Macaca fascicularis: one gene and its partner. Each later gene encodes a partner of the first gene's protein in a complex. Links are inferred from orthologs where the notes say so. Each region holds a gene or a part of one and is shown in the gene's direction. Other genes may lie near its edges.

What was found.
Region 2: the proteins of PTEN (region 1) and MAST2 are in contact, whole or in part, in an NMR structure (PDB 2KYL), measured with the Homo sapiens proteins. The link is inferred for Macaca fascicularis from reciprocal best matches to the Homo sapiens genes PTEN and MAST2. Residues at the interface, in NP_000305.3 of Homo sapiens: Pro391, Phe392, Asp393, Glu394, Asp395, Gln396, His397, Thr398, Gln399, Ile400, Thr401, Lys402, Val403; in NP_055927.2 of Homo sapiens: Lys1112, Lys1113, Tyr1114, Gly1115, Phe1116, Thr1117, Leu1118, Arg1119, Ala1120, Ile1121, Arg1122, Val1123, Tyr1124, Met1136, Trp1138, Glu1141, His1170, Val1174, Ile1177, Leu1178, Leu1191.

The regions. Positions count from the first base shown.
Region 1 is NC_088383.1:96,734,538-96,738,641, forward strand, and holds the start of PTEN (phosphatidylinositol 3,4,5-trisphosphate 3-phosphatase and dual-specificity protein phosphatase PTEN), read left to right. Parts: upstream 1-1,304; 5' UTR 1,305-2,149; coding exon 2,150-2,228; intron 2,229-4,104. Other genes in the region: KLLN (killin), read right to left, coding at 1-174. UniProt on the Homo sapiens protein: Dual-specificity protein phosphatase, dephosphorylating tyrosine-, serine- and threonine-phosphorylated proteins.
Region 2 is NC_088375.1:188,661,993-188,665,492, reverse strand, and holds part of MAST2 (microtubule-associated serine/threonine-protein kinase 2), read left to right. Parts: intron 1-709; coding exon 710-842; intron 843-1,758; coding exon 1,759-1,924; intron 1,925-2,433; coding exon 2,434-2,535; intron 2,536-3,118; coding exon 3,119-3,241; intron 3,242-3,417; coding exon 3,418-3,500. UniProt on the Homo sapiens protein: Appears to link the dystrophin/utrophin network with microtubule filaments via the syntrophins. Phosphorylation of DMD or UTRN may modulate their affinities for associated proteins. Functions in a multi-protein complex in spermatid maturation.

The DNA.
Region 1 (4,104 bases):
TCCGACTGTGGCCCGTGTATCCTTCCACCCCCTTTTGAACCCTCCTAGGTCTCCTTGCCCCGCCCACTCGCTGGGCTGCAGCTTCCTACCGTTCCGTACTTTCCACTCAACCTGGTAACCCCGAACGTGCATGGTCTGGCCGGGGCGCGTGGAGCCTGGCCCCGGGCGATCCATCCCGCCGGGTTTTCACGGAGGCCAAGGGGGGGCGGGGCTAGGTGGTCTCTAAGAACCGAGCTTGAGTCCGACGCGGCGAACTGACTTGGAGCCCGAGGGGGAGAGATGCTCTAGTCTCCTAGGGGCACCGGAGCGGGCGCAGGAGAGGGCTGCGGGGTGCGTCCTACTCACGGGGATCCTCTTTCAGTTCATTTAGATAGGTGCCCTTTGGGCTCTGGAAATTCAACGGCGATGTGTTCACGTTCAGCACGCTCGGCTGAGAGCTTTCATTTTTAGGGCAAACAAGCCGAGTTACCGGGGAAGCGAGAGGTGGGGCGCTACAAGGGAGCCGGATGAGGTGATGCACGCTGGAAACACAATAGCAGGTTGCTCTTTGTGCTAAGACTGACATCCTGAGGACACAGGGTTGGGGAAAGGAGGAATCTCTAGGCAAAGGCTGCTACAGTCAAATCTCTGCGAACGACTGTGATCGACAGCGATGCAAAAGAGCGAATGCAGTCCACGCCGCGGAAATCCAGGGGCAGAGGCAGGGGGGAGGGTATTACCCTTGCAAGGACCGTCCCTGCATTTCCCTGTATACTGACCAGCGTGGTCACCTGGTCCTTTCCACCTGTGCACAGGTAACCTGAGACTCGAGTCAGTGACACTGCTCAACGCACCCATCTCAGCTTTCATCATCAGTCCTCCACCCCCGCCCCGCAACAGCCTACCCTGCCTCCGGCTGGGTTTCTGGGCAGAGGCCGAGGCTTAGCTCGTTATCCTCGCCTCGCGCTGCTGCAAAAGCAGCCGCGGCAAGTGCAGTTGCAGGCTGGCGGCTCGGAACCGGCCCGAGCGAGCTCTAGGCAGCCACACTGGGCATGCTCAGTAGAGCCTACGGCTTGGGGGCTTTGCGCTCGCACCCGGAGCTACCGCTTCTGTCCCCGCCTACCGCCCCCTGCCCTGCCCTCCCCTCGCCCGGCACGGTCCAGTCCGCCTCTCGTTCAGCTCCCGCCTCCCCTCGGTCTCCCGAGGAGCCCGGGCTCCCGGCGCGGCGGCGGAGGGGGCGGGCAGGCCGGCGGGCGGTGATGTGGCGGGACTCTTTATGCACTGCGGCAGGATACGCGCTCGGGCGCCGGGACGCGGCTGCGCTCAGTTCTCTCCTCTCGGAAGCTGCAGCCATGATGGAAGTTTGAGAGTTGAGCCGCTGTGAGGCGAGGCCGGGCTCAGGCGAGGGAGATGAGAGACGGCGGCGGCCGCGGCCCGGAGCCCCTCTCAGCGCCTGTGAGCAGCCGCGGGGGCAGCGCCCTCGGGGAGCCGGCCGGCCTGCGGCGGCGGCAGCGGCGGCGTTTCTCGCCTCCTCTTCGTCTTTTCTAACCGTGCAGCCGCTTCCTCGGCTTCTCTTGAAGGGGAAGGTGGAAGCCGTGGGCTCGGGCGGGAGCCGGCTGAGGCGCGGCGGCGGCGGCGGCACCTCCCGCTCCTGGAGCGGGGGGGAGAAGCGGCGGCCGCGGCGGCCGCGGCGGCTGCAGCTCCAGGGAGGGGGTCTGAGTCGCCTGTCACCATTTCCAGGGCTGGGAACGCCGGAGAGTTGGTCTCTCCCCTTCTACTGCCTCCAACACGGCGGCGGCGGCGGCGGCACATCCAGGGACCCGGGCCGGTTTTAAACCTCCCCTCCGCCGCCGCCGCACCCCCCGTGGCCCGGGCTCCGGAGGCCGCCGGAGGAGGCAGCCGTTCCGAGGATTATTCGTCTTCTCCCCATTCCGCTGCCGCTGCTGCCAGGCCTCTGGCTGCTGAGGAGAAGCAGGCCCAGTCGCTGCAACCATCCAGCAGCCGCCGCAGCAGCCATTACCCGGCTGCGGTCCAGAGCCAAGCGGCGGCAGAGCGAGGGGCATCAGCTACCGCCAAGTCCAGAGCCATTTCCATCCTGCAGAAGAAGCCCCGCCACCAGCAGCTTCTGCCATCTCTCTCCTCCTTTTTCTTCAGCCACAGGCTCCCAGACATGACAGCCATCATCAAAGAGATCGTTAGCAGAAACAAAAGGAGATATCAAGAGGATGGATTCGACTTAGACTTGACCTGTATCCATTTCTGCGGCTGCTCCTCTTTGCCTTTCTGTCACTCTCTTAGAACGTGGGAGTAGACGGATGCGAAAATGTCCCTAGTTTGGGCGACTATAACATTTAACCCTGGTCGGGTTGCTAGGTCATATATTTTGTGTTTCTTTTCTTGTATTCAACCTAGGGTGTGTTCGGCTAGACAGAACTCTTGCCTGGTTGCAAGTGTCGAGGCACCGATTGCTTGCTTAGGCTGTCTATACGGTCTCTTCCTGAGGGCTATTGTCCGTTAATACAGAATACAGTATGCTGTTAGTGGATTAGAGAGCTCGGTAATCCGGTCTCCTAAATGAACAAAAAAGTAGACGCTTTGAGGTTGAGCATATTTCGATTAAATCTTGGCTTAGGCCCTAGATCAAGGGTTTAGATCAGAATAAAATGAAAATTAGTGTTGCACGTATGCATATTGCATCAGAATCTTGCAGTGATTGTTTTAGTTTCCTGGGTTGCATTGATAGATTCTTTTAAAATATGACTGATTTGCATAACTTTAGAAGCAGAATAATTTTCAGTATATATGGTGCACATTGAGTGCAAAAAGTAGTTTTGTTAATGTTTTACACTTAAGTTACAACTTTGGACTGTATTTAGAAGTTTTGTAGTTTGAAATCAATAATGCCATAATATACCTTATAAGGCGTTCTTACTAGATCTTTGTTATATTTACCTTTTTCTCTCCCTATGGGATGATGTAGGATAGGGCTTGAAATTTGCACTTCAGTAGCGTTTAATGTTCAGTGCTCTTGTCATAAACATGGAATGGATATTGAGTAGTTTTTGATCCCAGATGACAATGTGTAGGTTCAAGGGTATTGTGTGTGGCAAGTGAAGATTGCAAAGATAAAACTTCAGTTCATGCTTGAAATTTAAGTATTGTGATGCCAGAATTGCTGCTCACCGTTTTTAGATTTCAGGTTCTCTGACATCTTTTGGTACTGTTAATTTCACTGATTTGTGTAGAATGTCAAGTGAATTTTACCAGCTAATATCCAGAAATGCTGGCAAGAGAAGTTTACTCCAGCTTTAGATTGTAGGTATGTTAGCTTTTTTCATACAGTGTATTAAATTTACTGAGTCAGCTTGTTGAATAAGACAGAAGCCCAAGAATTTTAACAGTGTATAGCTTTAGTTGTCTAAAAGTTAGGCCTTCGGGCTTCAAAAGTTAGTGGTCATCGAAAAGCATGAATCTTTGCAGTTTCAGGTACAACAGACTGGTTTTGATTAGGGATGGGGATGGGGCCCTCATTTTGCAGAATGGAAAGTATTGACAGGAATTGAGAGCTATTGGTAGGCCAGTGTATAAGGTATGTGAAAACAGAAGTTATTGGTCTGAAGTGACTGAAGCATTTAGGCTCTATCAAGGCCTAAAATTTGGTAATATGAGTTTGGTAATGCGAATTGTGGCAGTGGACAATATTTAGTTAAAATTATGTAATTGCATAAGTACTAGCAAAGTATTTTTAATAAAAATTATTTCTTAGCAAGTATCAGTTGCATTTTGTCTAAAGGTAGCGTGACACTGCAGTGTCTATATGTCCTGCTAAAAATTGTGGGGAAGATTTTTTTTTAAGACAACGTTTATATCGGGAGAGGTTTTATTCCCTTGGATTATGTTAGCTGCATATACATGTGCACAGTTAATTTTGCCCAAGTTTTTGTTTTGAAATGAATATAAAACTTACTGAAGAAGTAGCCTCCCAAAATTTAGTTTTCTGTTAAGTCAGTAATATTATTTTAAAACAGTATTTGCAAATTTTGAAGTTGGCATTAATTGAAAATGTTACTAAGGCTAAACTGGAAGATAAAAATGTTACTAAGGCTAAACCCGCTTGCCCAGAAG
Region 2 (3,500 bases), on another chromosome or scaffold:
ACCGAAATTACTGTTTTTCACTGAGGAGGAGAACCAGTTGGGTGGCACGACTTTGTTTTAGACAGATTGAGTTTGTGTTGCCTGTAAGACATATGGGCAGTTGGGTGGGCCTGGAGCTCAAAAAGGAAGTCACAGCCAGAGGTACTATTTGGGGAGTCATTAGAATAAAAGGGTGCCAGGGTAAAGCCTTCAGCACAAAATGAGTGACTCAGGCAGAATATATAAAGGAATCTTAGTTCTAGTTTCTCCCAACTAACCCTCCTCCCAAAACCAGCCATGGACATGGAACAAAATTATGTGCCCCCTGCCCCTCTCCCTGAAACAGAAGTATTGTGGGCCACTCAGATCGGGAGAGGGGACTAGGAATGGCTCCAGCCTTAGAATAAGGCTGATCCCAGCTCTGTAGAAGAAACTCTGTTGTTCAACTGAATGACTCCTGCCCCCAATGTAGAATACAGTTAGGGCCGTGAACAGAAATGGAGTTGTGGGAATGGGCAAAAGGCAGGTTCGTTGCTTGTGCAGAATGCAGCACTCACACAGCCAGAGCGATTTACGTGTCCACACCTGCCTGTCCCCCTGCTGAAGCTGCCCGGCTTGTGCCTCACAGTACCCCCATGGAAGCCTGAGTGGGGAAATTGGGCATATACTAAAATCAGTGCTCTCAGAAAACCAGGAATAACTTCATAATTTTATTTCTCCCGTCTCCCAGCCTCCTAATTACATCAATGGGGCACATCAAGCTCACGGACTTTGGACTGTCCAAAATTGGTCTCATGAGTCTGACAACGAACTTGTATGAGGGTCACATTGAAAAGGATGCCCGGGAATTCCTGGACAAGCAGGTAAGGAAGGATAGTTGATACATTGGAGGGTAGATTCTGGGCCCTTGTCCTGGCACAGTGGCTCATGCCCGTAATTCCAACCCTTTGGGAGGCTGAGGCAGGAGGATCGCTTGAGGCCAGGAGTTCAAGACCAGCCTCGGCAACATAGTGAGAGCCCATCTCTACATTTGTATACACATACATAGATTCCAGGCCCTTGAATAAGGCCTTGGGGCCATATGCCTACCTTGTAGCTAGATGTTAAGATTGGGAACCCCTATCTTTTCTACCTTTGGGTTCCAGAGAGGCATTGAGATAGGTAGCACATTTGGAAAACAGGATGAGCCATGAAAATCATATGGATATAAAATCCAAAGTCATCTTCCTTCTCAGGGTTTGGAGAAAACAGGTCATGTAACTGTTAGCACAGTTTCATATGAGGTCAGTCCCGAATCTCCCAGCCTGAGTCAAGGACAAGGCTCTCCTGGAGCCTGAGGTTCTTGGAACACAGGTTTGAATTTCCATTGGGCTGTGGCCCAGTGTCCTGAGAGGCAGCCTCTGGATGTTCCCTGGTTTGACATTTCAGGTTGTGACTATTCACCAGTCCCTGTAGTACTTACGTAACCAGTAGGGTCTGTTCTGTTAGAGGCTGGAGTGCAGAGGCCAATTGTGGGATCAGATGCCAGAGGTGGGTGTTGAGGGCTTAAGGGATGGTAGTTCTGGGCTAGAATGAGACAGTTTTGTTAATTAGCAAATACCTGCTGACAGTTCCGACTCTTGTTCCCTGGGGCTTCTGTTGATTTTGTTCATTAACTAAGGTGGGCTGAGTCTTCATTCAGAGACTCTTCTGTTCGAGGTGGGAGCATCCCGCGTCTCCCGCTGTCATGCCAGTGAGCAGCCTCAGGAGGCTGAGCCAGCCTGGCTTTTCTGTGCCCAGGTATGCGGGACCCCAGAATACATTGCGCCTGAGGTGATCCTGCGCCAGGGCTATGGGAAGCCGGTGGACTGGTGGGCCATGGGCATTATCCTGTATGAGTTCCTGGTGGGCTGCGTCCCTTTTTTTGGAGACACTCCGGAGGAGCTCTTTGGCCAAGTGATCAGTGGTAGGTACTATCCTGCTGGCCCAGTGGGGATACAGTCTGGATTCACAACTATGATGTATGCAGGCAGCTCATGAGGCCTGTGAGCTCTTGTTCTGAACTCACCATGTGTTTGTGATGTCTGCTGCTTTGGGGGTGGGTGTCTCTGTGTTTCTGCATGTACATACATGTGGACACTGTGTCCCCTAGGGCCTCACGTGTCTCCCATATATACCTGTGTGTTCCTCTCTGTGTATGTGCACATCCCGTAAGTGTGAGGGGTATGTCTGTGTATGTTTTGTGGAGTATAAAAGCAGGGTGAGCTAGAGCTTTGCAGTGCCCACCATGGATCATAGATCAAGCCATGGTCTAGGAACCTAAAAAAATTAAAGACTGGGGTCCCAGGCAAGGCATTCAGGGACTCCGGGCTGGGTCCTTTTTGACTCCTTTCCTTACATTGTCCTGGGACCTCTTCTACATCTCTCCACTCTACCCACAATTTCTCCTCTCCCTCTCACCCCTGATGACTTCAGATGAGATTGTGTGGCCTGAGGGTGATGATGCACTGCCCCCAGACGCCCAGGACCTCACCTCCAAACTGCTCCACCAGAACCCTCTGGAGAGACTGGGCACAGGTAGGGCAGGCCCTGCTAACTTTTCCCACTACTTAGAAAAGGGGTAAGGGGCCGGGCGCGGTGGCTCAAGCCTGTAATCCTAGCACTTTGGGAGGCCGAGACGGGCGGATCACGAGGTCAGGAGATCGAGACCATCCTGGCTAACACGGTGAAACCCCGTCTCTACTAAAAAATACAAAAAACTAGCCGGGCGAGGTGGCGGGCGCCTGTAGTCCCAGCTACTCGGGAGGCTGAGGCAGGAGAGTGGCATGAACCCAGGAGGCAGAGCTTGCAGTGAGCTGAGATCCGGCCACTGCACTCCAGCCTGGGTGACAGAGCGAGACTCCGTCTCAAAAAAAAAAAAAAAAAAAAAGAAAAGGGGTAAGGGAGGCTGAGTCCATGTACCCTGGAGGTTCAGGCTTCAGTTATGGGCAGCCCCTCTGGATCCTGAAACTCTGCCCTGCTCCCTGTAGGCAGGGAAGGAAAGATGCTTGAGCTGACCCCCTGAGTATAGCTTCTCAAGGTCTGGCTTCTTACGAGGTTTGCTGACCTGGACTCCATGCGGCTCATCCTTCCCCCTTGCCCATGCCCTCCCTTTCCACAGGCAGTGCCTATGAGGTGAAGCAGCACCCATTCTTTACTGGTCTGGACTGGACAGGACTTCTCCGCCAGAAAGCTGAATTTATTCCTCAGCTGGAGTCAGAGGACGATACTAGCTATTTTGACAGTAAGGCCGCCAATGTGTGGAGTGGAGTATGGGTCCTACCTGTTTGCCTAGAAACACCTGTGCACACTGAACTTGGCATTGGGAGCAACTTCTCAGGGCTCTGCTGAAATCTAATGGGGTCACAAGGAGGCCACCAGCAGGGCTCTGAAGGAAAGTGTCCTTTATGTCTGGCCCAGCCCGCTCAGAGCGATACCACCACATGGACTCGGAGGATGAGGAAGAAGTGAGTGAAGATGGCTGCCTTGAGATCCGCCAGTTC